3 linked regions of the Arabidopsis thaliana genome follow. The gene in region 1 interacts genetically with each later gene. Each region holds a gene or a part of one and is shown in the gene's direction. Other genes may lie near its edges.

Region 1 (11,337 bases):
GGTTTTGTTCTCTACTTTTCTTCGAAGATAGTATCCTAAAAGCTCTTCATCCGTCGGATGAAACCTGAACCCAGGAAGTGGTGCTTCGTTTTCTTCTTCATGATCCTTACCTAAGTTACCTTCGCCACTCATCTTCACTACATCGATCTCTTTAGAACACCAATCAAGTCATTCTTTATAAAAAGTTCTCTATACATATATATAGTAAATATTTATCTATTTATTGATTATTTTTTTTGCCTGTTTAATTGGTGCTTGGTCAATTACGAATGACTTTGACTATTATTATGCACACAAGATCTTATAGACTTTCCCAAGTATTAAAATCTTTTACGGGTATTATTTTTAAAGAAATTTTTTATTTAATATTGGTTTATTCTATAAGAATGAATTCATCCATCTTTCTTATGGTCTTTGTGATTAATAACAAAATATTAATTTTATATTTTGAATGCGATAGTTTTCCTATAATTAGTGTGTTTCTGTGTTGTAACTAGAGAATCTGAAACCTCCAAAACCTAAAATAATTTAATTTAGGTCTATTGTTTTAATGATCCGAATGTTCTGCTTTCAAACTTTAAGTTTGTGTTATTTTGTCTTAAGACTTGTTTTGGCTGTGTTTGAAAGTTTTTTTTTTACAAGCACATAAAAAAAGAATTAAATTTGTTTATAGTTTAATAATTTTGATATTGGTGGGCTATGTTATGCAGAAAAGTCCAGGACATCGGAAAATAATTAAATCATTTATTGCAACTAATTTTATAGTATGATGTAATATATAATTGAAATTCAAACATGTCGTTATCAGTAGTTGTTACGTATTATACTGTAATTACATCAGATTATCAATAAACTGCAAATTCAATACATACGTATAGGTGAAGTTTTTGTCCAAAAAAAAAAAACGTATAGGTGAAGTCACGTGGTTGGACCATATAATAATTTTCCAAAATATTGAAAAGATGTAGTAAAAGATACTATTAAAATAAGATTCACATAGGAACCAAAGGATAACTTTTATATATGCCCTCCTTTGTGGACTAATTAAACTATTTTGATATATACCCGGGAGCCAAACACAAACTTAGATGGTAGACCAAATCAATAAAACAATTCCTTCAACTGCATTCCAAAGTGTACTTAGTTAGAGCACTCTGATTACTACTTTTCCTGTTATGATCCGAAATATTTAATAACTCTTTTGGATCAATCAACATATATTTTTTTTTGTGGAATTGTTTCCAACTAAAACAATAAATATAAAAAGTAACAGTACAGTAAGTGATAGAGAATTGGCAAATGAACTTTGGAGTTTACTGATCAGATTAACTATATAAAAACACACACACTATATTAGCATCTAAAAAGTTGAAATCAACGTATAACATAGTTATTTCATATTTTTGCCACACGAATATTTTTATCTTGACTAAACGACACAACTTTCTACTTATTATTTACAACAACTCTTACAGTTGCCGATCAGACTTGGTAGATAAGAAATTGGTAGAAACTATGTATAAGTTAAATCATGCTCATCTAAGGATGACACCTAAATGATCTCATAATTAGTCAGTACCCACTCCACTTAACATTTTTCTCACGAGAAAGTAAAATAGATGGAATGATTAGTAAAATAGTCCAAGAAAAAAAGTTTGGTCGACTCGACAAAGTTATTTGATCTCGTGACTAATATACATTTTCTGAAAACTTTTAATAATTAACTTAGCAAATACAATGTTGTTTTTCGAGTTTATTTGCCATGACAATTTCTCACCGCCTTAACAAATTCATTTTTAAAAAGTTCTAGAATCATTTTGGCTATTGGTTATTTATATATCAAACAAAATATAAAGGACAGAAATCCTTAGAAGATGTATAAAACGACGGCAAGGAGAAATAAACTATCAAAGAAGGTACAGGCGATAACTTAGCCAGGATTTAGCTCCTGTGCCAAATGGGAAAGTGACCCATTTGATCTATATAACATTCAAAGTCCTGATTTTGACTGTTGAATATTATCATAAAAACTCATTATAAAAAAACCAAAGTAATAAAAGTTGCCACAACAATATCAGTACGCATCCAATCTTCTCGGGAAGAGAAACAAAATCAAATTAAGAAAGGTTTTCAAAGAAGGAAGAGAGTCAAAGGAACATAATATCCAAATTTTCAACTTCATAAACTTTTTCTAAATTTATTCAACATGAAAAAGGAGGGAAACATTGAATGGTATCAATCAGTATCAGGTTTCTAAAAAGGGAATGTTCATACTTACAACAAAGAAAATTTAAACAACAATCAAAATTAGAAAGACAGCAAGAAAAGTAGAAAACTTTGGCATTTTGATTTACATTTATGAATTTCCACATTTATCATGAGGTCGGTGGAAGCGGCGGAGCAACAGTTATTTTAACCGCCGCAACAAGTCTTCAATTCTCCTTCCTCTCCGCCGCCAATCTGCCGACAAGTTTCTTTTCGTCTTAAGAAAATATATTGGGTCTCGTTTCGTACAACAAAGTGTAGTGTTTGGGCTTTACTCAGAAGCCCATAAGTATTTTATTATTATTTTTAGACAGTAAGGCCCAATAGTATTTTATTGTTACTGTCTGCGCTGAAACAATTTATGTTTTTCAGCAAAGTAATATCTTACTAATCAGTAATTACATACACCGTAACACCATCACGAATTTTCAGTACACGACAGAGTATAGGTATGATTGACTGACAACAATATAAAAAGGCTAAATTAGTTAGACTGTCTTATTAATTAAAAAGTAATATTGTACTATTACTATACTACTTCACTTAAATATTTATTCGACACACAAAAATAAACCATTCGTGTGAATGTTTCCCAAACACATTTGGGGCCGAAGCATTCGAGCGGGCGTACCACTCCAATTACCTGGTACACATAATTGAAGACTATAGTATGAAAATTAATGTTTTATGTTTTTGTCACCTAAATTTTTAATAAAATGCAGTTGCAGTTTGGTTGTCATTGTTCTGTTGATCCGTTCATTCCGCGTCCTGTATTTGGCTATCACAATTTCAATCTATGAAAATTTGAAATCCGTATGGTCAAAATTATATTTTAAAACCACATTGCTAGAGAATAATTAAAAAAATAATAATCTTCATGTGGAATTTATAGAAATTAATGATATACATTTCAGGAAAACTTAGCATGAAGTATATTATTTTAATGTGATGATTTTAGAAATACAAACCGAGACGCGGTATGGGATATGGTCCATTACAAGTAGGCACAATGGTCCACTAATAATTGTTATTACGACAACAGAATTAATTGCCTATTTAAAACGAAATGAATCATCGAAGAACATACTAGATCTTTTTCCAATTTACAACCAAAAAAAACATTATTAGGTGAGTAGTAAAAAGATTAAGGTTATCAGAAACTAACTGTAGTAGTATGTTGTGTGAAATTCTTTTGTATTTCTTATTAAGCCAAGGGTGCCCTTTCAATGCAACGTGATAAACGCCAAAAACGATGATATGAACAATTATAAACTCGTTGAGAGCATTGAACTCGGATAATAAATCATCTTTTATATACATCGTAGATAACAAACAAACACGTAATTAAATTTGACGTATAGCAAAAGACTTGAAGAATAAAACGTCAAGTTAAAGATAATTTTGGTATATATGAGAAAGGTATCGACAAAAACCATAACGCTATAGATGATTGTGATTTGACAAAAACACCCTCAAATCATTGTTTTCAGAGTTTTTTTAGATAAGGTACAGATAAGAAACCACCTCTAAAAATCAAGCAATAGATCTCATCGCTTAAAAGAAGAGAGAGATCTTCACTTGTATGTGTCCCACTGATTCCAACACAATGTCCCAGAACTTGCCACGTGTCGTTCATTTCAAAAGATTGCAGTACTGTTGTCCCTAGAGAATCATTATCTCCCTCGCTGTAATATCTTTATGCTCCTGTCACTTTCTGTCTGTACCCAAAAGAAGTAATGAACCTCTCTCATCTTCTTCTTCTCTGTTTCTTTCATGTTTTGTGAGTTGTTTCTCAACAATTTTCTGGTCTCTTAGAGTGAGAGGAGAGAGATAGAGAGTTGTGTTGGGCGTGGAACTTGGACTAGTTCCACATATCAGGTTATATAGATCTTCTCTTTCAACTTCTGATTCGTCCAGAAGCTTTCCTAATCTGGTCAGTAGTACTCTTTTTATACGGGTTTTTGGTTTTATAAGATGTGGCTATATTTGGAAATAACTATTTTGCAAGCTTTCCTAGATTGCCAGAATATAAAAAAAGATGTTTAACAAGAGAACGGACTCATGGACTTGCTTTAAATTTTAATTATTTTAAAATCATTCTATAATGATTAGAGTAAATAAACTATTAGGACTCTGAATTATAAAATTCGATTTTATATATGCTCCTCCTTGTATCTCTTAATCATAAGTTATCATTAGCTCTGTTCACTAGTGCTATAAAATATATTCTGAGGTTAATAAAACTTTTTTTTCTTTTTATTTTGAAATGTCTCCAGAGATCTGACATGGAACACCAAGGTTGGAGTTTTGAGGAGAATTATAGTTTGTCCACTAATAGAAGATCTATCAGGTATTATTTAATAATCTTTGATCTAATGTTTTCATTCATTAAAAAAAAAACTTTATAATATAGTCTGTGTGTGTGTGTATTGATGTCTAGGCCACAAGATGAACTAGTGGAGTTATTATGGCGAGATGGACAAGTGGTTCTGCAGAGCCAAACTCATAGAGAACAAACCCAAACCCAGAAACAAGATCATCATGAAGAAGCCCTAAGATCCAGCACCTTTCTTGAAGATCAAGAAACTGTCTCTTGGATCCAATACCCTCCAGATGAAGACCCATTCGAACCCGACGACTTCTCCTCCCACTTCTTCTCAACCATGGATCCCCTCCAGAGACCAACCTCAGAGACGGTTAAGCCTAAGTCCAGTCCTGAACCTCCTCAAGTCATGGTTAAGCCTAAGGCCTGTCCTGACCCTCCTCCTCAAGTCATGCCTCCTCCAAAATTTAGGTTAACAAATTCATCATCGGGGATTAGGGAAACAGAAATGGAACAGTACTCGGTAACGACCGTTGGACCTAGCCATTGCGGAAGCAACCCATCACAGAACGATCTCGATGTCTCAATGAGTCATGATCGAAGCAAAAACATAGAAGAAAAGCTTAATCCGAACGCAAGTTCCTCATCAGGTGGCTCCTCTGGTTGCAGCTTTGGCAAAGATATCAAAGAAATGGCTAGTGGAAGATGCATCACAACCGACCGTAAGAGAAAACGTATAAATCACACTGACGAATCTGTATCTCTATCAGATGTATGCTTCCTTTAATTCTAACTCATGATAATTACTTCTTGAAAACGTAATCTTGGTCTATCTCAGAGAGTAATACATAATACATTTTGCAGGCAATCGGTAACAAGTCGAACCAACGATCAGGATCAAACCGAAGGAGTCGAGCAGCTGAAGTTCATAATCTCTCCGAAAGGGTACTTCATCGGTTCGTCTATATAATATATAATATATAGTTTAATGTTAGAGAATCGTATAACATTTATACAAAGAAAACAGATACAAAACTCTGTTTTTTATTTTCTTCTTTTCATAACTTAAATAGAGGAGGAGAGATAGGATCAATGAGAGAATGAAGGCTTTGCAAGAACTAATACCTCACTGCAGTAAAGTGAGTTGATACAAATCAAATCTAAAAGTGAATCAGATTAAGAAATGAAGATTGATTCATTCATTGGTGTGTTTTTGCAGACTGATAAAGCTTCGATTTTAGACGAAGCCATAGATTATTTGAAATCACTTCAGTTACAGCTTCAAGTGATGTGGATGGGGAGTGGAATGGCGGCGGCGGCGGCTTCGGCTCCGATGATGTTCCCCGGAGTTCAACCTCAGCAGTTCATACGTCAGATACAGAGCCCGGTACAGTTACCTCGATTTCCGGTTATGGATCAGTCTGCAATTCAGAACAATCCCGGTTTAGTTTGCCAAAACCCGGTACAAAACCAGATCATCTCCGACCGGTTTGCTAGATACATCGGTGGGTTCCCACACATGCAGGCCGCGACTCAGGTAAGGCCAATACGAAGCCGTGTTTATTAAACGACGATTTTGGTAAAATGTTTTTTGGGTTTACTACATTAATACGAGATAAGAAAAAATGTTAAACCGACGTAGTTTTAGTTGACACGTTGTGTGGTTTTTTATTAGATGCAGCCGATGGAGATGTTGAGATTTAGTTCACCGGCGGGACAGCAAAGTCAACAACCGTCGTCTGTGCCGACGAAGACCACCGACGGTTCTCGTTTGGACCACTAGGTTGGTGAGCCACTTTTTTACTTCCTTATTTTTGGTATGTTTCTTTTTTATATCTATCTTTCTGAACATACTTAAAACGTTCAAGGATGTATTATTATAGAGTAAACGTGCAACTTCATTACGTTATTTTCTGTATATGTGAGTTTATGTATGTCAAAATGACATGATGAGATTTTTTGTAAACAACATCTTAAAAACAGGACATGTGATTTTTGTAATCGTAAAAACTTTGGGATGCAGTTTATTTTCTAATCAAAACAAGGATATATCTAAGTAATCGAAATTTTTTTCGAAAATAGAACTAGATGACACTTATAGATTATAGATCACACCTAATTTTGAAGATGTATCTAAAAGTCCATTCAATTTTTCTCTGTTCCCCTAATAAGAAATCATATGTTCATATTCAAAAAATAAGAAACACAAAAAAAAACTTTAAGAAAAACACAGATGATCAACCGTCTGGCTAGAGTTTGGTAAAATATTAATATCTTATGATTTCATATTGTTCCATAAATAAATAAAAAATCATAACATAAGCTTTTCTTGCTGATTGTCTAAAATTATGTATAGATGGAAAAAGCCAAATCACATGTGATGGAGCCAGATTTGAGTGAGAGTCATGTGTCAATTGTCAAAAACATCGACATTATAAGTCTTTAAGCCATGTGCATACTGGTCAGAATCTATTTAGCAATAATTGAGTTAAATATCTTAGATATTTTTGCATACTGTTTTCATATATAAATTTATTCCAAAGTTTGAAATAGTCGATCGAAAACACTTAACAATAGTAAAAGTTGAACCGATCAAAGGTTGGATACATACATTCAGACAGAGACACCCATATCATCAATCATGTTTCAATCTTCGTGGAACATCCACATAACATTATTTTAGTGGCAAAATAAAAAATGTGTTAAATATCACTAGAAATACAAAAAAATAAAAATAATATATAATATATGCTTCATCAATAGGTGTCTGGTCTTCAAATCATGTAAATCATATACTATTAAATTAAAATGCTAAGATGAGTTTCTTCCATTTCATTCAAGATTTGGTTTGGAGCAGGAGTAGTTCACGGATATGATTTTAGTGGATTGTTTATAATCGTGACTTTTGTTTTGTGTTTGATCGACTTGATCGACCCGGCCAACTTATGATCTTCCGTAAACTAAAGTCAAAAGCAATAATATTTCTTTCTTTTTTTGTATGAAAAAAGCAATGATATTTCACTGATCTCTACGGAGTAAAATCTCTTTCTTGGACTTCATTTGGCATAGATTCTTTTAGTTCGTTTCACATTCTCTTTCAGTACCAGAGATTTCTTCTGTATGTTTTAAATCTTGGTCATACCGTCTTTACAGCACTAGCCTCTAGTATCACAATAGATAATGATTTTCTAATACCAAAACCATATAGTCACTCATCTGGACTAGATAGATTTTGAAGTCCTCTAGTTTCTATGTAGTGAGATCCTCCATTCATTTCTCTTGACTTTCGTGAGGTTTGAGAATCCAGTCATGTAACCCATAGCAAATGATTCGACAACTGTATTACCCAATGTCACCATCTCAAATAAAGAAGAGAAATAGGATTATAGGAATACTGATCTTCCATGTGATCTAATTTTGTATATATCGCACACTTATCAAAATCCATTGTAAATTGTAGTTTTTTGCTTGAAAAGAAACGCAAATAGTATCAGCAGAAAAAAGCTACACAAATAGTACCACCACTTTTTTGTTTATCTTTAGAAAAACATTTTTATTACTATCCACACAAAAAACTACTAAGAAAGTTATAACATCATGTCAATAATTCAAAATCATTATCAATGTCAAAAAAATATTAGCTTTAACAATAACTAAACTCAGCCATCAAGCCCAGATAATTGTATTTAAGTATTTGAGTTTTTAAATTGCATTTGAGTAATTTACTCGTAAATCATAGCTCATGGAATTAAACTAAAAATTTCTTAAAAAAAGGATAAAAATCCAGTAAACGTTGGAATTTTATGGTAAAAGTTCGTCTTCAATTCTTACGAAACTCATCATAGCTATCAATATCATACCTATTAAAATCATTAGAATCGTCTAGAAACCTTTTTTAAAAGAATTTACATCGTCAGGTCTTAAGAAACAAAATATTTATTATTTACCAGATACAGACATAAAAGCTGACGTGTTGACATTTTAATTTGATGGAAAACGTATAAATGCACGACACGTGCTCCTACTGGACCACTTGATAAGTTACGTAACTTATCAAGCTTACCGAAACGAACACGTGATAACAGAGAACTAAATTCACAATTTTTGTTATTGATAAAAGAAAATATTTAAATTTTGAAAAAGTAATATTAACATATACTAGAAGCTATATAATTAGCAAATAATATAGAAATGAACTACTTATCTAATTTTAGTTCTAAATTATTTACCAATAATTTGTTCATATCTTGAAATTGTTAATTGTATATCTTAAATCTTTGACTGAATTTAACTCTTTTAATATTAAAATAATTAAATAATTAATCTTAAGGTATTTAATAAATAAAAATTACTAAAAAAACTACAATAAAAGATCTATATCCAATAAGAAAATTAATAATTATATTGATAATTAGGGAGCATATGCGTTATTATAAATTACAACCTAACCTACTTTACCGACCCAAAGCCTAAAAAATCCGACCTTTTTTTGTTTTCTCTCTCTAGAAGTCTCTCTGTTTTCATCTTTCTCTCTCTCTCTCTAGCTCTTCTTCCTCGTTTCTGGCTTTTCTGGGAATTTTGATCCTTTGGCCCCCATTGCTCGCTTGAATTACGAATCAGATATCGCCGATCGTCGTAGATCTGCGTTGATACTGTCCGGCTGAGTAAACAGGGTGAACAAAAACCAAAAACAGAGAGGGGGTTTAAAAATCCTGAAGAAAATCGCATGAATTTGTTTGGAAGCCTGATTTTTTCATCTTCGATTTCGAGCCACTTCACGACTTGTCTTCTCATCTTTATTCTTCATTTCTCTCCCCAGCTTAATAGTAATAATAATAATAATAATAGTAATCGTAATTCCAATAATCTCGAGAGTAATCGTTTGATCAATTGAAAAAAAAATCATGGAGTCCAGGAAAAACTCTGATCGTCAAATGCGTAGAGGTACTGTTTTCTTCAACCTCCATCGAAAAGTCTGTTACTTTTTTGTGAAATCGCTTACGGATTGTTATCGTTGATGTATAGGAAGGATCTAGGGTTCTTACTCTAGATTATAATCTGGGTAATTTGGTTTATCAAACAAAATTTGATTTTTTTTTTAATGGGTCCTCAATTTTATCCCTCGTGCTGAATTCTCTGTCGGTGATTTGATTCCTTCGTGGCGTTTACTTGTTTGGATGTATCTGCTGATTGCCACAAGTTTTGTTTTTGTGGGGTTGTTTAATTCTGATAATCACTATTGTTTCTTTGTTAGAAGAATTGATACTTTATTGGACTTTGGACGGTCGTTAATTCGTGTGCTTTGTTTTCATATAGCTAATTGCTTTTCAGCTGGTGAGAGGATGAAGACAAGGTCGCCCTCCGTGATTGTGATCGGAGGTGGTTTCGGTGGGATTTCAGCTGCTCGCACTCTTCAGGATGCTTCCTTTCAGGTTTGTGATGTTTCATGTTTTATACAATATATCCTGATAGCTGATTTTGATATCTCTTTCTCACGGTGTGGTTCTTGGTGTTTAGGTTATGGTACTGGAGTCCCGTGACAGAATTGGTGGACGAGTTCACACTGATTACTCATTTGGTTTTCCTGTTGATCTTGGTGCATCATGGTAATCTCACGGCTCTTTCATCCTGTCATTAGATGATGTTTTGGTTTTGGTTTTTGGTTAACTTTAGGCTAACACAGCAACATCGTTATGTCACAGGCTGCATGGAGTATGCAAGGAGAATCCTCTCGCACCAGTTATTGGAAGACTTGGACTGCCCTTGTATCGTACTAGCGGTGACAATTCCGTCCTGTATGATCATGATCTCGAGAGGTTTGCTTGAATATTTCGATTTTGTTACCTCCATCTTTTTATTCTTGTTTGACACCTTAAAACTCACAGTGCAATTCTTTTGTTTCTGTAGCTATGCTCTGTTTGATATGGATGGCAACCAAGTTCCTCAAGAATTGGTAACTCAGATTGGCGTAACGTTTGAGCGTATTTTGGAAGAGGTATGTCCTTCACATTCATTTAGATTTCTTCTTTATTCCTATTCTCGTATTTCTTGATGTTGCAAGTCTTTGATTGATGCTCATGCTAACTAGATTCGTCTATTGCAAACACAGATCAATAAAGTCAGGGATGAGCAGGATGCTGACATTTCAATTTCTCAGGCTTTCTCAATTGTCTTTTCTAGGAAACCCGAGCTGAGGTTTGTATACATAATGTCTCATTTTCTCAATTTCTTTAGGCAATGCACTTTTGCAAGCTTGGTTTCATGGTTGAATTTTGAATTTTCACATCCAGGTTAGAGGGGCTTGCACACAACGTACTTCAATGGTATGTATGCCGCATGGAAGGATGGTTTGCCGCAGATGCTGAAACCATCTCTGCAAAGTGTTGGGACCAGGTTAGTTACATTCTTTCTCTCGTAGTTAAGAGTTTTTTTTGTATAGACTGCTTCTTGAATTTTTGGTTTAACACTCCGAGAAATGTGCAGGAGGAATTGTTGCCTGGTGGACACGGTCTTATGGTTAGAGGGTATCGTCCTGTCATCAATACTCTGGCGAAAGGTCTTGATATCCGAGTAGGCCACAGGTAAGCTTTTGCGTTTTTCAAGAGTTATGGCATTCGTTTAGTGTTTCACAGTCATAACCTCGTGTTTCTCCTTCTCTCAGGGTTACTAAGATTGTCAGGCGGTACAATGGAGTGAAGGTAACGACAGAAAACGGGCAAACTTTTGTTGCGGATGCTGCAGTCATTGCT
Region 2 (10,994 bases), on another chromosome or scaffold:
ACATGGAGTCCATGACCATAGAACAGAGGAGATCGACACAAAGAAAGTAATGGGCTAAGCATAAGAATAATGAGTTCAGACCTAAGATTAAAAGCCTTAGAATGATTAAACCAGCAGGTGGGCTTGGACCTTATTATAGGTAATGGGCCAACAGAAGAGTCTAGGTCCACTGGGGAAAACCCTAGGTTCACTTCAGGATGCCAAAATGGGGCAGACTCTGACCGTGGTTGTGTTGAGGTTCCAGGGGTTCGTAGCCTTTCCTACAAAGGGAAGCAGATCTGAAGGGAGTGTCCAAGGAGATGCAGGGAAAGAGTGGGAGAAGGGAAGAGCACAATGTCTCATCCTTCCTTCTTCGATTGGATCTGAAGAGCAACCTGAAACCGATGCAAGGTGAGGTAAAAAGTTTGGAAGGGTTCGTGGTGTGTTTTTTGTTTTTTAATCTATCCTTTTAGTTAAAAACTATTTTTTTTTTAGTTTTATAGAAAAAAATTTGTAACTCAATCCATTAAATTATAGTTTTTTTTTACTTTATACTCAAATAAAGTTATTTGCTACTATCTCATAGTTAAAACATATAAACAATAATGTTAATTATGTGGTTAACTAATATTTTAATATTAAAATGACATATATTACCTACTCCCTATGTATAACTTTAAGTGATGTTTAAGAAAATTTATTTTGTTTCATTTTAAGTGATGCTCTCATGTTTCTATGCAATAATTCAATATCTAAATGTTGTTTTTTTCGACCAATTATATTTTAGAGTATGTTTTCAAATTGGTTGAATTCATTTTATTTAGTTTTGTTTCTATGTAAAAGAGGTATATTAAATGAAAGATTTATGTTTTCATAATTTATGTGTAGAAACCTTAAACATCACTTATAATGATGAGGGATCAGAGTATAACATAACTAAGGTAAAATTACAAATATATGGGTTGAATTTGTAATTTTCATAAGTAAATTATAAAGGGTCATTCTGAAAATCAATAACTAAATAGATTTGAAATCTTACTCCATTTTGAAGTATAAAAAAAATGGAGATGCTATTCAAGAATAAAAGCAAAAATGTTGTTGAAAATGAACAATTATGTTGTATATAAGAAACGTTACCTGAAGATGACTGGCTACGTTTTCTCGACTGATGTAATCAACCTTCATAACATCTAATATTTTTTTGGGAACAGCTCCTGCATGAAAATATAATTATTCACACATTTATTATATAAATATAGAGAGGTATAGTATATATAATAAATTGGGAATGGTAATTATAAACAATAATATTAGTGTTTGTGACTCACTTTCGAGTCCAAGAAAATCCACGGCGTTGAGAAAGTTTTGGTGAAGCTCCTCGTCCCAAACGACTCGTCTTTTCTTGGCACTAGAAGCACAAGCACGATCATTATGATCATGACGATCCTCCTCGTTGACTTCTGCTTCAAGGCAACTACTTCTTTTACTCTTGTTAGGGTTTCTTATGGTGGAATCTCCGACAGAGGATGATTTCTCACCTGCTGCTTTCTCTGCCTCTCCGGTCACCACACTCCTCCTTTCTCTCATCTTCTTTACCAAATGTTTGAATACTATCCGTAGATCTTCGGGTCTTATCGGTTTTATAAGATAGTCGGCAGCACCGTTAATCATCCATTTCTTCACCGACTTCACTGAATCGTCTTCAGATATTACTGCGGTATAAAAAAAGGTGTGTTTTCTTGTTGCATATCGAATTTACACTTAGTTCAATGAAATGACATTTTTATTAAAATTATGATACGCTTATAAAATAGTAAGAGAGAGTAGAGAGAAAGACATCCTGCGTGATGATTGATGAGTAAAGAGGATTAGAGCTTTATGTGCTCTGTTCTTGGGTGATTAGATATCTTACTGATGATTGGAAGATCCATTTCCGATCCGATTTCCGAGAGAAACCGGAATATATCACCTTCTGCATTATTTACTTGTATCATAGCGAGGTCGAACCTATTCCTATGGTTGCGGAGTGTATGCATAGCTTTGTTCACTTCGTTGCATATAGTCACTGCAAAAATACACATCGCCATTAATATGGAGAGATCTAGTCCAAAGCATGTCATGGCCTCAAATATAGGTCAAAATTTGGGAGAAATGTTTTAGGTTTTTTTTTTGTCAACGACTATATGAAAAGGGGAACAAAACTTTTTCATACATTTGAAAATGTTAGACCAGCTTTGAATATAGACTTAAATAAACACTAGATCAACTTCGAAAATGGTTAAATAGCTACCTTGGTATTGAAACTTTTGGAGATGTCTCTCCAATATCAGAAGATACGATGGATCTTCATCGAAGACTAACACTCGCAAACCTTCAGGAAAGTTGCTTGAAAACATATCATAGAAGTTTGTTAGATTTCTAAATGGACCATCATCACCGTCGGTCAAGACTCCACGGTGATCCAATATCTCAGCCATATTTAATGGCTGCATATAAACACTCTGCGTGTTTTTGTGAAGGTGTCCGGCCTTTTAAACGAAGGAAATCTGAAGAAATCTGTTTTTTTTTTTTTTTTTTTTTTTTTTAAAGATTGTGATCAAATTTTGATATTATCTTATACAAATATTAATGTCATTTTTAAGAGTAAAATTAGGAGGTGGACCCCAAAATCATCATCTTGTTAACAGATTTAGAATTTTGAAAAATTAAAATCGTAACAATTAAAAACTATAATGTGTTAAAACAATTAAAATCCTCTCCTAAGATAACACGCCACCATCTATTCGTTTTAATAAAACCGTTATCACGATCTTCATCTCTTTTTGCAAAGCTTCTTCATGATCATAATTTGAGTTTTTCAAAATTAAAATGGATCCTCTAAGCTTTTATTTATTTATTTAATTTATATAGTTAGATCCAAAGCTAAACAAAGGTAAAAAAAAAAAAAGGAATAAGATTCTTACAATTTAGAAAAACTATAAACATTGTGAGGTAAAAACTCAACTAATTAATGTATGTCTAACTATCAAATATAACAAACTAAACATTTTGCTATAAAAACTCAACCAGTCAGTTTAAAACACTCATAAACATAAAATTGCTATATAGAGAAATGACTCTTGTGTCAAAATTAAATTACTATCCAAATTTTCCTTATTGATTTCAAAAATTCAAAATTTGTAATTTTGTTTCATGTATTTTCTTTTTTGAATTTTTATTTAAAATATTTTAGTGGATTTATCATAAGGAGTTTCGAAGTTAACATTAGTGATATGAAAATATATAAAGAGAAAAATCAAACAGAAACAAAAGTTTAAGAGATCGGATGAAACTAAATTGGTCGAAATGAATAGATATTTAATCAATAACAAAAGGAAATAGCTATTGAAAATTGTGAAAACAAATGACAGAAAAATGGTTTTGAGAAATATGTCAACAAAAAAAAAGAGTTGGAATTAAGCATCAAACTACTTCTATAAAATTTTAATAGAGATATTCTTCACTAATTACTCCAACAACCTTTAATTTTTATAACAAATTGCAGTTTTTAAAAAATCATAAGTAAATGAATGAACGATGAAGTATCACATTTATGTTAATTTCAGTTCGAATTATGAATAAAAAACCAAAATACTTGTTAAGAAAAAAAAACCAGTTTGTTTTTGTTCTTAACAAAAAAAAGGAAATTGGGGATCTTTTTGTGCGTGACCATAAGTATTTTTACTTTACAAAATTTGCATGCATAAATTTTAGTATTAAAATAATATATTTACTTTATAAAAACTCATATGATATTGGCTCTAAAAAAAATAACAAGACTAAATTAAAAGTGAAGTTAACCATGATAACTGTAAGAAACATTGTTAGGATTAAAATCTTATAAGGTAATATCATACTTTAATTTATGAAAAAAAGAAAGTCTTAGAGAGCCTTACTTATTAATTTTTTAAATAAAATTCTCTTGAACAATATCTTCCTTTTCAAATATTAATGTAAAACTTTTTTTTTTTTTAATACCAATATTAATGTAAAACTTATGTAAACCAAAACCTTCTACATCGTCGTTAGCAACCGGTTTAACAATTTTTATGAGTTGCTTTCTTTTTTTAATTATCACTTTAGGTGACTCTCCTTTTCAGTTGCTTTTAAACCTTGTACTGTTCTCCCACTTCTCCTTGCTTATATATTGATCAAAAGCTCTTGAAATGTAGGAAAAATACGGTTCATATAAAACTTCCTTAATCAATCTTAGAAGAAAAATCGGAAAACTTTTTTGATCAGAAGTTTCGTTCGATATATGTCTTGAGCTCTAGGGTATAGTTTCAAAGATTCTAACATGAGATATGGTCGAAGTCAAAGTCAAAAGACCTTGGGACTCAACACGTCAAATCACGAAGCTTATAATAGTATGTCCGATCAAGAAAAGATACAATGCTCGATCAATTGATTTTAATATTTTATATTGTAAAAAATTATATAAAAAAAACACATTCCTCTCCATAAAAATTTTGTAGTAGATTAACCATTATCAAAAATAATAGTAGCATAATTAAAAAGCTTAAATATTTCCCCAACATCAAGAAAACCAAGGTTGCTAATATATTTTTTTTGTCAGAATTTTTAAAAAAATAGTGGTTCATGTCAATGTCATTTGCTATCCACTTTTCTACTAAAACCAAAACTTGGATACAAAAAATTAGATGGAAAAAGGAAGGAAAAAACAAAAAGCACACGAGCCAGAAAAAGTCACACGTGTGAAAGTGAAACATAATGAACGCAGTACAAAACACAACTACCACTAGTTTCGGTTTGGTCAAGACTGTAAATACTCAAACAAACTCCGAACCAGTAGTAGTAGTTCTGGTCACAGCTCTTTGTTTCCACTCTCTCTCTCTCTACCTCTCACATCGTTCTACTTCTAGGGTTTGGCTAATTTAGATTCAACATCTCCTTTAAAATTCTCTGTTCTTTTGTATTCCTAATCTTTAACAATTTAAGAAGAAATGGATTCGAATTCATGGATCAATTGTCCCCCTGTGTTTTCATCATCGCCTTCTTCACGCCGTTACCAATCTCGATCAGGTTTGTTTAAAAAAATGCTTGAGGTAGATTGATTATGTAAAGTTTCATCCTTTGTTCTGAATTGATGGTGATTAACACTTTTTGACGCAGATTTGTATTTGGGAGATGTTGAAGGAGAAGACGATTTGAAAGCTGAGTTTATGTGTCCTTTTTGTGCAGATGAGTTTGATATTGTTGGTCTTTGTTGTCATATTGATGTGAATCATCCTGTTGAAGCTAAGAATGGGGTAATGTTCATTGAGTTTTTTTTATTTCAAGAGTTTCATGATGATTCTTAGGTTTTATATTTAGGTTTAAATTTCCAAATCTCTAAGCTTTCCTGAAATAGAAAAAGTTGCTTTTCAGTTTTAACCCATTGTTTAGCTTAATCAAGTGAGCATTGTAATTACCATTTGTAGAAGATTATATAATCAGTAATTTAGGGTCTCTTATGTGTCATCTTTGATATGAGAACAGAGTGCTTAAATGATCATCCGCATTTTACATTTACATGTTATTCTTAGATTGATTATGTTTATACTTAGGTTTGATTTCCAAATCGTGAAACTTGCTTGTAATGGAAAAGGTTGCTTTTTTACGCAGTGTTTAGCTTAGTCAAGTGAGCATTGTAATCTCGCAGTGCTTCTGGATTAGAAAGTTATTTAGGTTCTCTTATGTGCTATCTTTGATGTGAGAACAGTATGTTTTTGCTTTGTTACTAGGTTTGTCCTGTCTGCACAAAGAAGGTGGGATTGGACATTGTTGGCCATATAACAACGCAACACGGGAACGTATTTAAGATATCCTTTTGAAACTTTGATATTCTCTTTTAACGGTTTTAGTAGAGTTTGAAGAGTCATTTTGTGTATTCCTTGACGTGAGAGATTTTACGTGCAGCGAAGAAGAAGGTTGCGTAAAGGTGGATATAGCTCTACCTATCTTACTCTTAAAAAAGAGCTTCGAGAAGCTAACTTACAGTCTCTTGGAGGGTCTTCCACTTTCATTCCCTCTTCCAATATAGATTCTGATCCTCTACTCTCATCCTTTATGTTTAAACCCCCTTCGGCTATACCTATCACTGAAGGAGACTCGGTAGCACAAGTCTCACCTAAGGACACCTCTAAAAGGTATAATTCCATACTGTATTCTCAAAAAAATGTGTCGCTTCCGTTTGTTTTCTCACAGTGCCTGTTTTTATCATTCCTTTACAGCAAAATACAACAAGAATCATTCTCAAACGAAGATCAAGAGAAGGCAAAGAAGAGCAAGTTTGTGCGGGGCTTGCTTTGGTCAACCATGCTTGAAGACAAGTTCTAATTTATCTAGATATCTTATATTGTAATCAATGTATCAAGAAATCATACATTAGTCTCAATGTATGTAGCAGAGGCTTGTAGCAAGCATAATGGCATGCTGAGTATGTTGTAATCGGATGTTCGTGGGGTATCTTTTATGTGCATAATCAGAAGATATATAAGTACTATTTCACTCTACTCAGGACTCGTAAAATTAGCCAACGCTTAAAACTTTTCAGTATAAAACTTATAAGCCAACCCTGTGTTTCATCAGTTCAGCAATCAAATTGTATCACAAAAAGTGTTGCATCTCAACATTACAAAAACACTCCTCGCAAATTTCACTATATGGGCTCCTCAAATCCTTATTCAGGGAAAATCAAAAGACTAAGTTTCAGAAGAAGAAAGAGGAAGATTAGGCTACAATTCACAAAGCATCTTCTGGAAACGAAACAGCAGAGACTCTTAAATCGCCTGAAAAACACGCAAGAGTCTAACCACTATTTGGTGGTTCTTCAGTGTAAGAGAGACTTTATATGTGAAGTAAGAGCAGCAGATAATGGGTCTTTTGATCAGACCAGAGCCAAATCCATGGTCAAGAATGTATCTTTCATTTTCACCTCATTTGTGGACTGTTAGAGGTGAAGAATCTGTAGTCTGGATGATCAACTTGCAGACGCTTGAGCCATTTATCTGCAGCTTGTAGCAAAGAAGTCATCTTTTGGGACTCTTGAATTCTATTTTGGTTCCACACAGATACTTTCAGCTTATAAGATGCGAGTCCAAAAGTAGGCAACGGTAGCTTTGTGGATGGTTGTGAATCACTACAACCCATAGCACCTGCTCCAATACATACACAACACTGAGAAAGAGATCACAAGTACGAGGACATAAGAGGATATTGTGTTCCATTACGTCATCGGGTGCTTACTTTGAGGAGGTGCTGTTGAGAGAGAGTGAAAAGTTAGAAAGCAGGCATCAAGATTTTGTAGTGTTGGACCAACCGGTATTCTGTATATTGGATACCTACACACCAACAAATTCACAACTCAATATTTTCAAATCCATTTCCACATATATTCCAAAATGTAACGATCCCAAGAGTCAAGACTCAGGAAGGTTCACATGAAACATACCATGACACAGAGACCCAACTTGAAGGAAGAAGATCACAGCTCCGGTATGTCATTAGCTCAGGAACTCTTGACGCGAGATCCGAGATCTGGTGTGTATGAAAACTTTATTAGAAAATATTGAAAGTTAATAATGATCTAACTGTCTTTGCTTAAGAGGATATTTACTTTGTTAGCCAGAGGTTCCCTGCCAAATGGAGGTTCATACTCCAAGTACTCGAATAGTAATCGTCCCTGCGGATTGCTGATCTCAGCTTCTCCACTAGACAACGAGCCAGTAATAGATTGATCTTTCAGACTAATTCTATTCAGTTCACCGACACTCAAGTCCACCGGCAAAGTCCTACTGTTGCTGCTTCCTTCACTACTTCCTTCATTATCTCCAACTGGATTTCTATTCAACAAGACCATAATCAAAACCGTCAAATGTAAAAAATCCTGGAGTTCTTCCGCGCAATAAATCATATACATATCAAACAACTAACCTAGGCTTCTTCAACGGATCAACATACAACTGAATACCGGATAAGTAAGGCACATAATACTGCACAGTGGAGTCATTCCCATGCATTTCTAGAGGATGCATCTCTAAAGGAACACCAGCACCGTATGCACTCCATTCAGCAAATGACTCCCAAAGATCCTCCAAAACAAAATACGTATGGCAATCCGATTCACGGGTTTTAAGTTCCCACCTGCTCCTCTACACAAAACAAATTGCAGCAAAAAGCAATGCTCATAAGCCATAATACAAAATCAACTGAGTTCTACACTAAATCACATGACAAAACTCAAAGTCTTCTCCAATTCAACTCTATAATATCAAACAGAGATTACAAACACAACGAACACTATAGTATCAAGTTCAAGTAGCCACAACAGACACAGAATAAGTATCAAGACCCAATAGATTTGAAAACAGTGCTTACCATGGGAAATAAACGAGCAGGAACAACAGGAGTAGTATGCTCCAAGAACCGATCCAAGTTAGACCCATCACTAAGAACCCGACCCGACCCGGAAGAAGAATCAGAAGAACCGGCACATACTTCCGAACCCGAAACAACAACCCGACTCTTACTCTCCGACACACCAAGACCTTTCCTAGTAGTCCTCGGAGCAACAGTAGCAGCCTTTCTCCTTTCCTTATCCATCAAAACCTCATCTTCATCATCACGACGTTGCTTCTCCCTAATCTGTTGCTGCAATTGGGCCTCTTGCTGCATCCTACGCATCGGAGGTGGATTATAAAACCGATTCTCACCACGGATCGCTGTACGTGCGATTGAAACTCCTCCAGAACCCGACATTGTTTGCTAATTTCTCAAAATCGATCGCAAAAATCCAAAACCCAGATGAAGCAGAAATCGGATAAAAAAAAGTGAAATTTCTTTCTCCCCAGAAAAAATAAAGAAGAGAAGAGACTAAAGATTGCTTCTTTTAGGGTTTCGCTTGATGATACGAAGTACAGAGTTGGAGAAACTGAGGAAGTGAGTTTCTAGGGTTTTAGAGAGATTGGGGAAGATGAAGGAAATGGGTGAATTTTTGATTATATTATTATCTAATCAGGAAGGTGATGAAAAATATTTTATATAAAAATAATTCTAGTGGCATACACTAAATTAGTTAATTTAATAATAATAAGTTGAACATAGTGAGAAAAAGTAAATATTTACGGGTGTGGCGAAAAGAAGAAGATGGTTGGAAAATGAAGAGATGTGTCTCTGTGTGGTTTGGTAAGCGAATGGTTTCGTGACGTCTCTTTTTACGAAGCAGCTCTTTGTTATTGGGCTGGGCTTTTTAACGAGGCCCAAATATTTAAAAAAATTAATATCTGGTTACTGGGCTAATACAAAATTTCTTTGGTTACACATGAATGAAGAAATGAACCTGTACAAGATATATTAATCTCACAAGCTGCAAATAACAGGGACAACAACACCAACAAGGAACAGGTAATAATTCTACACACTGTGGTTTATTTTTGGGGAAAAGAAAAGAATCAGAACCATTTGCTCTCTCTTAAACAAATATGAATCATCATTCCTAATGAAGTTTGGTTTCATAAGGCCTCAGCTCTACCATAGTAACTATCAAAACTCTTCAGCTCAAGGCACGGTTCAGGGACTACGAATTCCGAAGACCCGTCAACATATGAGCATTGCCAAGAATCAGCAGGGGAAGCCGAGTTTTTAATCGACAGAGAGATATTCGATAACAAAATCGAAGTGAAAGGAGACTCTTTCGTTCCAAAGAAATATCCAGCAGTGCTTATGTTTTCTCCAACAATGTCATGTAACCTGATGTGACTCACAAGCGGGTAAGCATTTTCATCGAAACCAGAATCCGGATGAGTACCGAAGCTACCGTTGGCTAGAAATGCAGTACCAACATTAACCATATGGATGTTGGAAATATCAATCTCCTTAATATAACCACCTCTTCCATTTGTTGTTCTAAAGGCAATCCCGGATAACGAGTTGTGTATGTGAGCATCACTGACCTCAACATCAGATATACCACCAGACATTTCACTACCAAAGGAAATGGAGGAACCAGAAGCTGCTCTAAGGTAAACATTTCTTATCTGGACATTAGCAGTAGGTCTTGCATACGATAAACCGTATTCATCACAACCACTTTTAAGAGAAATGGCATCATACCCCATGTTGATACTAGATTCTTGGATACACACATTTTCAGAAGAATCTGAAAAAAATAACAGTTTGAGATTTTAGTGCTGCAACAAATTGTTTCAAATTACACATATATCTGGATAATAACAACTAACCTGGGACAATACCGATGGTATAAGGAGATTCTGGACAAGTATTAGCCGTTACTCTATGAATGTATAAATTGCTGCAAAACGAGTCAAGAGGTTACCAAATGATTTCAAAACCAAAGGAGGTATAATAATAAGAGGGAATTTTCAAACTATTTTTACCGACAATAAACTGAATGGATAGTATAAGCCGGAGCGTTCAAGAATGTAAGATTTGATACAATGACATTTTCGGCAGAGACAAACTCGACAAGGTGAGGGCGACTGTACTCTAAAGAATGAGAATTAAACCGATCCCACCAAACAAGGCCTTGCCCATCTATGGTACCGTTATCACCTAAGCCAATGAATATGGTATACAACAGTGAGTTTTTATTTAGCATTAGCAAACAAAATGAAATGAATGGAACAAAATATGTATATAACCTGTTACTACTACATCATGTAGCATGTCACCGTTTATCAAACTCATGTATCTCTTCCCTGGTAGATCAATACCCCGCCCATATGACGGTAAGGCATCCGTGACTTGCCAATGCGATGGATCCTTCACACGGTTGAGGTAAGAACAACAAATAAAAGACAAAATGAGAAACAAATACACAAATGTTCTGACTGATAACAATGCAGAACCATGGAACATTGGTAGATATATATATTGATTTAACTGAAAACCAGCGCAATGAGATATATCCTTTTATAATCCCCAATCTTGCTAGCAATTGGAGCCAGAGGTCATCC
Region 3 (11,495 bases), on another chromosome or scaffold:
CTTGTTTTAATTCCGAAGCTGTGGACTAACACGTATGAGATTATAATTTTTTTTAAACAACAGGAAATGATGAAATCTAAATTTTCTTGAAATAATTATAACGTGAGGTTAACAAGAAGGAGTGGGTGTTAATTTGGTCTATTTTGTTAACCACATATTAATATTGTCCAAATGGGTATATGTATGCACCTAATATATTGTACTTGTATGTAAGTGTTAGTTTGTTCGTTTTTTCACTTTTTTGTATCATGGTAATTTCACAAATTTACCCATGGTATAACAGTATAACTGGCTGCGGTTATTTCATTATTTTGCACTAAATTGTGGACTAAATAATTTTTGTATCATAATTTGTAAATTCTCTTTGTTTCGTCTGTTATAACAAGGCAACCAGTTTTTTTTGGGCCAGCTTCTATTTTGGGCATTAGCCCATCTAGAAACCCATCTTCACGTAATTAGCAATTTCCGGTTCAATTCAACCTGAACCAGCCAGCGATTGAGACTTTTAGAACACTCAGAGAGACAGAGCGTCATTAAATTAACCAAAAGATTTTACTAAAGAAACGGTGGCTTTTACATAGGTATTAGTTATGTGGAAAGAATATGTACATGAAGATTAGCATATAAAATCACATGTTTTGATACCTGGCATGTTCCTGTTCAGTGGAAAAAGAATTCACCTTATTTATTTATTTACTTATTTTTGCTTCAAGACAAAATTACCACATTTTCTCGTTGTCGTGGTATTCAAGAATCAAAACAATTAATATAAGACAAAGGCAAAATAGGATTATAGGAAGCTCAACAATACTGGAGTCTCTTAATTGGGAAAATTAAATGGATAATTTGGTTAAGCAAAGAAGAAGAAGGTACACGTCCAAAATCTCATTTTTATTATATTAATTCTGTAGATATCTTTTTGATAAGAATCACATTATATTGTATCCCTCAAAAACGGTTGTTTTTGTTTTCTTGATCTTTATAGGGTCTCAATCTCTGAGAACATAAAAACGGATTTGCCAATGCTATCAGAATTGGACATAACAGGTAATTTACGCTTATTTGACATCTGTTTCCATATTTTTTTATAAAGATTCATAAAGAATGTATATAAAATTTTGAATTTTGTCAATATCAATCTGAAGATTACCCAGCATTAAACTGGCTGAAAAACCAATCATATTGGTACGAGAAAAATGACTACTACAACGAGAAAGAGAGTGAATTGGCAGTTTCTGTTGCGGTTGCTGCATTCGTCATTAGATCAATGGAAGAAGCCGATAAACAAAAATCGAAAAGAATAAGAGAAGAAATCAAGAGGTCAAGGACCAAAAAATCCAATCTGGTTATACCTAATACCCAAGTAAAGAGGTTAAGCAAATCATATACACAAGAGGTGAAAATTGGAGGTAATAATTAATCTAAGTGGTTACTACCATTTTTGTAATCATACTTGGCTTATATATTGAAATAAAAACACATGTATCGTAATAGATATGTTTTTCTTCCCCCAGAGGAGAGTTTCAGAAAAAAATTGTTGGAGTATCCATCAGAAAACCGTCGGCCACAAGAGATTGGCTCATCCTCCGGAACATCAGGACTTGCTTCAGCGTCAAGTAAAGCAGATTCTTGGGAAAAATCTCAAATCAAGAAAATAAGATTAAGGTCAAAATTCATTCTTAGTTATTAATATTAAAAGTATATATAATACCATTACTTATTATAATTATCTGGAAAATAAACTCTACTTGAAGGTATGAGAAAATGAAAGCTGATATTGTGGGTTGGGAGAATGAGAGAAAATTAGCAGCTACACTGTTAATGGAGAAAAGAAAGGTTATTTCATTATCTAGTGAATAAACATTTTTTTTTAATGCATATAATTCAGACGACTAGCTAATATATTATTTTGTTTTATAAAGAGTGAATTGGAGAAGAGAAAAGGGATTAATAATCAGCATTATAAGTCAAAATTAGCAAGGATTCAACTAATAGCTGATGGAGCCAAGAAACAGCTTGAGGAGAAGAGAAGGAGCAAAGAAGCTCAAGTTCATGGAAAAGTAAAGAAAATGAGTCGAACAGGGAAAGTTCCTAATAATTATTTCTGCTTTCGGTGTTACTAAAATCAAAATTACTTATATCAATGAAACTATATTTGTATGTGTTAAACTCAAATCATAAATAAAGAGTAAGTACCTATAATTATAAATTTTGGTAGATATCATCACCATGGATAATATTGCAGTTTTCAATTGTCTCTCAACCTAATTCCCTATTTTCTTTTCTTTTCTAAAGATCTGTCTAATTCTTAAGCTTTAATTGTTATGTCAAATATCATAATAAAATGGAGTTATACTCCATAAAAATCAAATATTGATGTGATAGTCGATGTTTACACACGCTCTCGACCATATTTCACACATGAAATGTATCATATTATAGACGAGTAAACACCAAAAAGGGACCATAAAGGATTTTGATAGATCGTTAAACTCAATTTGTGATATGCTCTCAAAAGGAAAATGAGGCATTCTTTGGTCCAACCAAGTTACTCTCTTACCCGAAGTTTCTTTCTCCATTGGTACGTAGCAACACCTATGTGGTGGCCAGGACCATTCACATTTACTATCCTCTCTTCTTATTAGGAAAATTTGTAATATATATTGTCGTTGTACAAGTCTCAATCAATAGAATTTCGACGATTTAAATTTTATTCACCAACTATTGATGTGTGTCCTTTCAATTTATGATGCAAAGAGTAAGTTCACCGATCCTATGCCATGGATACGCGTTGCGTGACCTTGTAATGAATTCAAATGTTATATACATTTATAAACATAATACATTCTATATAACTTTCTCATAGTTACCTAGTTAAAAGTAGAACTCACTTAACTTGATAAATATGATGTTTTCTTCTTATATAAAAGCTATCTTTCTCACTTTGTTAAACTCGTGTGTTCTTGAAAGACTTAAGAAAAATAGAAACTTGAAATGAAAGAACACATGAATAGTTAACAAGTACGAATCCTTAAAATAAATCCTAAAAATTCTTCGGAAGATCCACTGATTAAACTTTGCTCAATCAAGCTTTCAATCTCTTCACTTTTTATCTACCTCTTTATCTCTCACACGTACGCACACATACATGAACACATGCATGTCCTCTGCTTTTATATTACAAAAGTGACGACTTTAGGATTCTAGCTAAAACTTGTTATGATAAATTGAAACCATATTAATATTCTTTAATTTTGATAAGTAACAATTGTTTTTCGGGTTTGTGTTGAGTTGCATAGGCAAATTTGTAAAGTCTCACGGAAAACTACGAGTGTTAATTGAAAGAGTACATTCAAATATCAAAAGAACATTGACAGTGACATTTAATTTTAATTTGTAGTTTAATGTATTTTTTATTTATTTATTTTTTAGTTTTATGTAAATCTATAACATCATTTGGTCAATACAGTCATTACCATCAACTAGTGATCAAAGAATAAGTTATCATAAATCAAATGATTAGCAGAAAACAATTGATGTGAAGAATCTAATTCGTATAAAAGAGAGTTTGAACATCAAAGAAAAAAAAAAGCTTGAAATTGAACAGATAACTCTGAGGAGCGTTAGGATTCGCTGTCAAGAATCTAATGCGAGAAGTTGATTGGCTGAATTTCACAGATCAACACTGGGTCCCAAAAAACCATCCAATAAGATCTTTCCACGTGTCATTATGACGACATCAGTTTTGAAGCTGTCGGCCGTAACTCGAGAGCGGAGTGGGTGAAATCACTTAAGATTTTGATGTGACATCAAATGATTGGGAAAGAAAATCTCACAATACAAAGGGGTTGATCCGTATTTATCCATTTCTCTGTACTTTATAGTTTTCGTATTCTTTTCTTCTGACTCAACATCACATATTTCATTCATATCAACTTGTTGTTCCACTACAAACAAGGCTTATAAGCCTCAACTTATGGTTGCAAGTTGTAACCAATCTGATACAAAAGTACTGAACCAATGATTGAAAAAGTCGTCTATTTTTACCTATTTACGTACAAAACTACCTAGACGGCTATGTATTAGGTAATCTCTGGACCAGTGCACATGAGGTCCTATAAGAAATTTAATAAGTGATGCTCCATTTTGAAGAGTACATATAAAAATATCTTAGATAGCAATATAAACACTAACTACAGTAAGAAATCAAAATTTGAAAAACATAATATGTCATTTTAAGAAACAAGTAAGAACAATCTTTGCTTCAATTATTCATGGAAATCAATGAGATATCTCTTTGAGAAATCTAAAAAACTTCTTCTTATTCTTGTTCTTCTTTCTCCCATGGTAGACTAGAAACTTTCTTCCCATACATTACTTTTTGTAAAATGAACTTCTTAAAAATGCTTTTCTTTTTTTTTTACTTTTTAAAAATGTTTTTATGGTGATCATATGAACAAGTCATTTGATATATTGTGAGATGGGAATGGACAGAGAAAAATTAAAGAAGTGATTAAAAGAGGCTGAGAAGTGAGAACATATTGATTGATTCCTAGCAACTTGCATCAAATATCTCTAGTTGATGCATCAACCTCACATCTCACTCTCATTTTTGACATTCGAATACCATACTATAGTTTCGGATTCTTACGTGTTTACTCCAATAAATATATCTTGTTTTCTATTCTTTAATGCGTCTACATATATGTATATATTTCAACTACGTTTATTATACTGTATAACGATAAAAATTTACATTTTTAAATAATAATAATAAATTCTATTATTAGAAATGTGTTTGTTTCTAAATCGGTGAATCACACGCTTTGCTTTGCTATGCTTTCTACCGAGTAGTCAAATGCATGCAATAACACATTCATGTCAATGTGAGTCGGTTGTGAAGAAATGACGAAAATGCCCTCATTTTATTAGTTTTTTTTTTCCTTAAGCAGGAGAGATGATTCTGGACTTGAGTGGCAAAACACAAACAATCCTTTGCCACACATGTGCTTCGTCCACATAAAAACCATTTGACGTTTTGCAGGGACCATTTTTGAGAAAGAGGAGACAAGAAGAGAGAGAGAGAGAGGCCTCTTTATTATAACTTTCAATATGGATCAAAGGCAGATACACCGCATGAGTTGTCGCTGTGATTGTCAAGAGTTTGAACACACAAAGAAGAAAGAAGAACTCAACATTTCAAGCAAGAAGAAAGAGAGAAGAGAGAAGGTCCAATAATAGAGAGAACAAAAAAAAAGAGAGCTTAATTGTCAGTTTATTCTCTGCAAACGTGCGGCCTAAGTAACACATGTATCTCTCTCTGTTTCTGATAAAGAACTCTTCTCTGTTTACACCAAAAAGAGACAAAACCTTACGCTTCTGTCCTTTTTTGTTTATCTCTCTCTCTCTCTTAAGTCTTAACACAAAACCAATTTCTTTTTTTTCGTGACTCAGGTCGAATTATGGAGTTAAAGAGCTCACATGGGAAAATGGGCAACTAACCGTTCATGGTCTAGGCGACGAAGTAGAACCAACCACCTCGAATAACCCTATTTGGACTCAAAGTCTCAACGGTTGTGAGACTTTGGAGTCTGTGGTTCATCAAGCGGCTCTACAGCAGCCAAGCAAGTTTCAGCTGCAGAGTCCGAATGGTCCAAACCACAATTATGAGAGCAAGGATGGATCTTGTTCAAGAAAACGCGGTTATCCTCAAGAAATGGACCGATGGTTCGCTGTTCAAGAGGAGAGCCATAGAGTTGGCCACAGCGTCACTGCAAGTGCGAGTGGTACCAATATGTCTTGGGCGTCTTTTGAATCCGGTCGGAGCTTGAAGACAGCTAGAACCGGAGACAGAGACTATTTCCGCTCTGGATCGGTAACAACTAACAAAATTACTCTTCCTTTTTTTCCTGAAAGATGACTGGAGAAATAACCAAAAGAGGACTTTAATAGGAAACTCAAGATACTGAAGGAGATGAACAAGAGACAAGAGGAGAAGCAGGTAGATCTAATGGACGACGGGGACGAGCAGCAGCGATTCACAACGAGTCCGAAAGGGTAAAAACTAATCCATCTTTTCTCTTTCCGTGATTACCAAACTACTGACTCTGAGTTTTGATGCAGAGACGGCGTGATAGGATAAACCAGAGGATGAGAACACTTCAGAAGCTGCTTCCTACTGCAAGTAAGGTAAATGTCTATCCTAGAAGAACCCACTTTTAAGTTTAAGAACTTTGTTTATATTGATATCGGTCAGTTTAAACGCGTTATTCGGATATTGCAGGCGGATAAAGTCTCAATCTTGGATGATGTTATCGAACACTTGAAACAGCTACAAGCACAAGTACAGTTCATGAGCCTAAGAGCCAACTTGCCACAACAAATGATGATTCCGCAACTACCTCCACCACAGTCAGTTCTCAGCATCCAACACCAACAACAACAACAACAACAGCAGCAGCAGCAGCAACAACAGCAGCAACAGTTTCAGATGTCGTTGCTTGCAACAATGGCAAGAATGGGAATGGGAGGTGGTGGAAATGGTTATGGAGGTTTAGTTCCTCCTCCTCCTCCTCCACCAATGATGGTCCCTCCTATGGGTAACAGAGACTGCACCAACGGTTCTTCAGCCACATTATCTGATCCATACAGCGCCTTTTTCGCACAGGTAAGACCGCTTTTAACTGTTTTCGAGAAAAGTGTTCAAAGATATACAAATCTTGAGCTCACTTCCATTGGCCATGCTGATGCAGACAATGAATATGGATCTCTACAATAAAATGGCAGCAGCTATCTATAGACAACAGTCTGATCAAACAACAAAGGTAAATATCGGCATGCCTTCAAGTTCTTCGAATCATGAGAAAAGAGATTAGTCTAGCGACCTAGTATTATTGATCCATATATATAGTTCTTGAAAGATTGTTGTATCATGATTGTAAAAACTGTTTTGAGTATGGAAAAAGACTTGCAGATAAAACTTGAAAGCTTCACAACTGAATTCAGTAACTGTCAAAGTACATTACTAAACCCTTTGCTATTTCGAGGACAGTAACAAGAAAATTATCTCTTGGTCGCTCTTGAAGTTTAAAATCTTCAATGTTAATAGATCATATGCACAAATAAACTTTTGTCTTTTTTTCTTTCTTTCATTGTTCGGAGACCAAAGGTCTAACCTTAGAAGCAGATGTTGTGGCCTTGCTCTGAGGTTTGTGAGATGTCTTATTAGTGTCCTGAAGAGAGATAACAGTTTCAAAAGCACCAATAAGAGCTTTCACTTTGTGCTTCCTCACCTTTGTTAGCTTATTCACTGTCTCCTCAATCACATTGTTAAACAATGTTATCATTTTCTTCTTCCCTTCTACTTTTCGATGCCTCAGAACAACTTTCTCACGTTTACTTCCTTCACAAGAATCTGTTTTCGTCTCAACACCCAATCTTCTATCTTTAAGATTCTTCTTCTTCCCTTCGGATTGCGTTTTCAGTTCCTGCACCACCCTCTTTTTGAACTTGATCCATCTCGGAGAAGAATCCTCGGGTTTAGGATCAAGAACCTTTCCTTTCTTGAAAGTCATCTGCTGAGCTAGACTCACCTTTACTCCTGTCTTCTTAGGCCTAACCTTCTTCTCCGGTTTTGGATTTGCTTCAACAACGTCTGCAGAGCCAGTTTCTTTCTTCTTAGTCAAACCGGTACTGATTTTACCAGGAATCTGTTTTGTAGGACTAGAACCACGTTTAGGAGTAGTACTCAAGCTTTTATTCCCACTTTTCATGGTTTTCTTCTCAGATGATGGTTGCTTTTCACTCTTAACACCTTTGACGCTAGATTCAACAACACACACAGTCTTTTCTTTTACATCTTCACCGCTAATTGTCTGAGTCGTCTTTGCCTTCTCCACATTCTTCAGATTCTTTGGAGCACAAACCTTAGAACTTCCAACGCCCGTAGAAGTACTTGACTTATCAGTTCTCAAGGCAGGAACCTTCTTAACAACAGCTGAACCACTCAGACCACTCTCGGTTTCTTTATTCTTCCGCGCTCTATCATTGCTTTTAACGCTTAAACCATCAACAGATTTCGCTATCTCACTACCTTCTTTGGAGCTAGATTCTGAATTCACAGAAGCACATGGTTTTTTCTTCACAGCCAAGGCATCTCTCTTTGCAGAAACAGAACTATCCGGTTTGGTTATACCTGGACTCTGTCTACTCACACTCCCCAATGACTTCCTTGTCGAACTTGGTGTCTCAACTTTGATCACAACTGAACCTTCAACACTCTTTCTCCTTGCAATCTTCCACGGCTTCACAGCATCATCTTGATCACATTTCTTCCCATGTTTACATAAATCATGAGTCGAACCCACACGATGATTCCCACGATAACGGGACTGAACCTGCGGTTTACTTATCGTTCCAGTCGAATGGCGTCTCAAAGTCCCACCTTGAGGCTTAGGCACTTCAATAATCTCTGGTATAATCTCTTCTTGATCCTTGGCTACCACAGCTATAACATCTTCCACATTTTCCACATCCTTTACACGTACTGTTTCCAAAGAGCCTTCTTCAGACATCTTCGGAGGGTTTGTATCGGAAGAATTCTCAATATCTTTGACCTCTGAAGTATTCTCTTCAGCCATTGACAAAATAAACCTGTAGAGGAAACAGAGTGCATTACCAAAAAGATCTCGACGTTTATGAACAGAGCATATTAGAACAATTTAATGGATTCTAAACTGATTCTTTGTCTTTTATTACCTATTCACTAATCAGATTCTAGAATTTGACATCATAAAGAACAAATCTTTAGACAAAAATCTACCAAAGATGACTCAATACATTCAAAGAAGGACAAATGTTGACTTTAAGAGTCATGATCAAATATGTGTATATTTCCTCGTTGATCATCAATGACATTAATACCTAAACGACAAAATTGAATTTTGATCATGATCCGTTACGAAAATTAATCACTTGTATTACAAAACAATGAAAAAAACTCCGATCTTTTTTTAGATAAAAAATTTGACTTCTGATCGAGATTGAAGGACAATGACCTAATTTCTACACAGTAACGCAATAAATACTCCACACGCTTAAAACCCTACCAACAGTTTCACAATTCAAACAAACACAAAAATAACCAAAAACGTATATCAAAAAAGAAATCAAGAATTAAGAAAAAAGATACCTTTAGATTGCTGCCTAATCTAACTCTCAGAGAATTTCCACAGAATAAGAAGAGAGAAAAAACAAAGAAAACAGTAAAATATGAGAAAAATGTATATATGTGTACCAGAAAATTGCTTTCCCAAATTATCTTTAGTTGGAAACAAATATGAAGAAAGAAGAAAGGTAGATTTGATTAGTTAGGAAAAGAACACGCAAAAATACACAGAGGAGGGAAGAAATCTTCTTGTGCAGAAGTCTTGTGAGAGAGGGAGATTCTGATTTTTATATTAAAGAATTTTGTTATTTAATTTACTTTGGCTCGATTTGTTATTTAATGTTTTACCTAATTTTATAATCTATTTATTCATTTATATAAAACTGATACACTTGGATGCATTTAATAAAAAATCGGTGTTGTTTAAAAATCTCATTAATCTCTCTTATATATCAAAATCATGAAAAATGCATGAATAATCGGTCACGAAAAATGAATTTGACAAATTCAATCTATAATCTCCTTAGATCACTATATTAAATCTCAAAAGTATATTATCATACAAGGAATTCCAATCGCTCGGAGGATATTTTGGCTAAAGCACAAAATCCATAATTTTTCTTTAACATAAAAACAAAGAGTTATTAGTTTTGTAACTATTTTCTTTTTTTACATAAACTGACTTTACTTTGTGAGATCATATTCATATGTATGACATTTAAGGGATCCGATACCTTAAGTTAAGTCTTTTTGGTACTTTTTCTAAAGAATGATTCTTGCCAATGAACATCTCTAGATTCTTTTCGTAATTTCTTTAGAATAAGATAAGATCAAGGTGTTGACCCACGAACAAAAAATATATGAATTGTTATATCGCAAGAAAATGATTTTAAATATAGATAATGTGGCCGTCGAAAAAGATAATCATGATTTAGCCTAAAATAAATCTTTGAGATATGGAATTTGGCAAAACAAAAACAAAAAATGTTTTATTGAGAAGACAGAGCCCACAATAATACAATGTCAAGATGGGTTACTTGATTTTATTCTTTATGGGCCAATGAACTTGGGCTCATTAGATTCAAACTGTGTGTTTGGGCTCCTTAGATTAGAAACTGATTCTCCTAAATGTGTGTTTGGGCTCCTTTGTAACATTTGCTTTCTCATGGTTTTCAATAGAATATCAATTAACAAAAAAATTGGTACAGTTTCGGTTTGGTGTAAACGGTTTAATTAGATTAAGCATGCTTAAAAGAGAGAGACTTTGATGAAGTGTTGTCAACTCCAAGAACAAAAAGCACCTCTGCTCTGTTTTGAGATCCAACCACAGTTCAAACTAATCAAAAGTCCCAATTTCTAACTTCAGTCTAGGCTTTTTCTCTCCATGGATCCTTGATTCTGAGGTCAGTTTCTGTTCTTGAGGTTTTTTTTCATTCTGCTTTCTCTCTCAATCAGATTTTCATATCATCTCTTCGAGAAACATAAATTATAAATATTTAGTTATGACTTATGAAGGTTACAAGATTAAAATTAGAAATTAATGATTAAATCATCCAAAAAGTCAACTAATGCCCTTATCCATGCTTCTCTGACACCAACATTTGACTAATCTAATTAAATTAGGAACAAAATTATTATCATTAACAAATACACCTCCAACATTAAGTAAAATTTCTATATACACAAATTTTCAAACACTAATGGTTTACTTTTCAACTCAAAATTCGAAATAAATTTTCCAAGAAATATAATTCTTATATCATTGAACAAGCCTCCAAGTTTTCTTAATAAGTTTTTCCTCTGTAATCATCATTTGCTTGTTAAGATAAGCAGGTTTCAGTTCTATTATTCCTCTTTTCTAATTTTTTTGGATTATATTTTCCATCTTCTTGATATGTTTTTGGTTGTAACTGATTACTAATTCTTGATCGCTCTAAAAGTTCACTTTTCTTTCTTACAGATCAACCAATCGAAAGAAACCAAAATGGGCTTCAACGTTGTTGTGTTCTTGAGTTGTCTGCTTCTACTTCCTCCTGTTACTTTTGGTAGCAACATGGAACGAACCACCTTGGTTATAGACGGCTCACGTCGAATCGCTGAGACCGATGAGAACTTTATCTGCGCAACGCTTGATTGGTGGCCACCTGAAAAATGCAACTATGATCAATGTCCTTGGGGTTACGCATCTCTCATCAATTTGGTATATAAAACAACTTTGAGCTTAATTTGACTCTTACTTACTTCATCTTAAATATGCCTTAAAAACTCTCCTTTTCTTTTAATCTTTTGAAAATGACTCAGAACTTAGCTTCTCCTCTTCTTGCTAAAG

What was found.
Region 2: of PIF4 (region 1) and HRB1, changing one suppresses a phenotype caused by changing the other (phenotypic suppression), as found in Arabidopsis thaliana (one study listed by BioGRID).
Region 3: of PIF4 (region 1) and PIF7, changing one enhances a phenotype caused by changing the other (phenotypic enhancement), as found in Arabidopsis thaliana (one study listed by BioGRID).

Annotation. Positions count from the first base shown.
Region 1 is NC_003071.7:17,882,453-17,893,789, forward strand, and holds PIF4 (phytochrome interacting factor 4), read left to right. Parts: upstream 1-4,345; 5' UTR 4,346-4,424; coding exon 4,425-4,615; intron 4,616-4,705; coding exon 4,706-5,360; intron 5,361-5,452; coding exon 5,453-5,533; intron 5,534-5,661; coding exon 5,662-5,727; intron 5,728-5,807; coding exon 5,808-6,125; coding exon of another isoform or gene 6,126-6,155; exon of another isoform or gene 6,156-6,263; coding exon 6,264-6,371; 3' UTR 6,372-6,635; downstream 6,636-11,337. Other genes in the region: NAC042 (NAC domain containing protein 42), read right to left, coding at 1-132; PAO2 (polyamine oxidase 2), read left to right, coding at 9,493-9,532, 9,905-10,020, 10,106-10,194, 10,291-10,404, 10,496-10,583, 10,698-10,783, 10,879-10,981, 11,072-11,169 and 1 more. UniProt on the Arabidopsis thaliana protein: Transcription factor acting negatively in the phytochrome B signaling pathway. May regulate the expression of a subset of genes involved in cell expansion by binding to the G-box motif.
Region 2 is NC_003076.8:19,954,411-19,965,404, reverse strand, and holds HRB1 (Drought-responsive family protein), read left to right. Parts: upstream 1-4,723; 5' UTR 4,724-4,982; coding exon 4,983-5,061; intron 5,062-5,151; coding exon 5,152-5,288; intron 5,289-5,762; coding exon 5,763-5,840; intron 5,841-5,931; coding exon 5,932-6,167; intron 6,168-6,251; coding exon 6,252-6,357; 3' UTR 6,358-6,533; downstream 6,534-10,994. Other genes in the region: AT5G49250 (Beta-galactosidase related protein), read right to left, coding at 1-62; APRR4 (pseudo-response regulator 4), read right to left, coding at 1,054-1,193, 1,308-1,691, 1,892-2,044, 2,270-2,471; AT5G49220 (hypothetical protein (DUF789)), read right to left, coding at 6,952-7,175, 7,267-7,361, 7,472-7,557, 7,637-7,862, 7,954-8,171, 8,398-8,778; AT5G49215 (Pectin lyase-like superfamily protein), read right to left, coding at 9,531-10,177, 10,260-10,330, 10,416-10,590, 10,680-10,800. UniProt on the Arabidopsis thaliana protein: Involved in both red and blue light signaling.
Region 3 is NC_003076.8:24,634,253-24,645,747, reverse strand, and holds PIF7 (phytochrome-interacting factor7), read left to right. Parts: upstream 1-4,982; 5' UTR 4,983-5,308; coding exon 5,309-5,310; exon of another isoform or gene 5,311-5,454; coding exon 5,455-5,875; intron 5,876-5,952; coding exon 5,953-6,057; intron 6,058-6,123; coding exon 6,124-6,189; intron 6,190-6,283; coding exon 6,284-6,667; intron 6,668-6,752; coding exon 6,753-6,875; 3' UTR 6,876-7,148; downstream 7,149-11,495. Other genes in the region: AT5G61280 (Remorin family protein), read left to right, coding at 838-869, 986-1,047, 1,146-1,409, 1,515-1,665, 1,755-1,836, 1,923-2,123; AT5G61260 (Plant calmodulin-binding protein-like protein), read right to left, coding at 7,149-8,639; GUS1 (glucuronidase 1), read left to right, coding at 11,151-11,366, 11,468-11,495.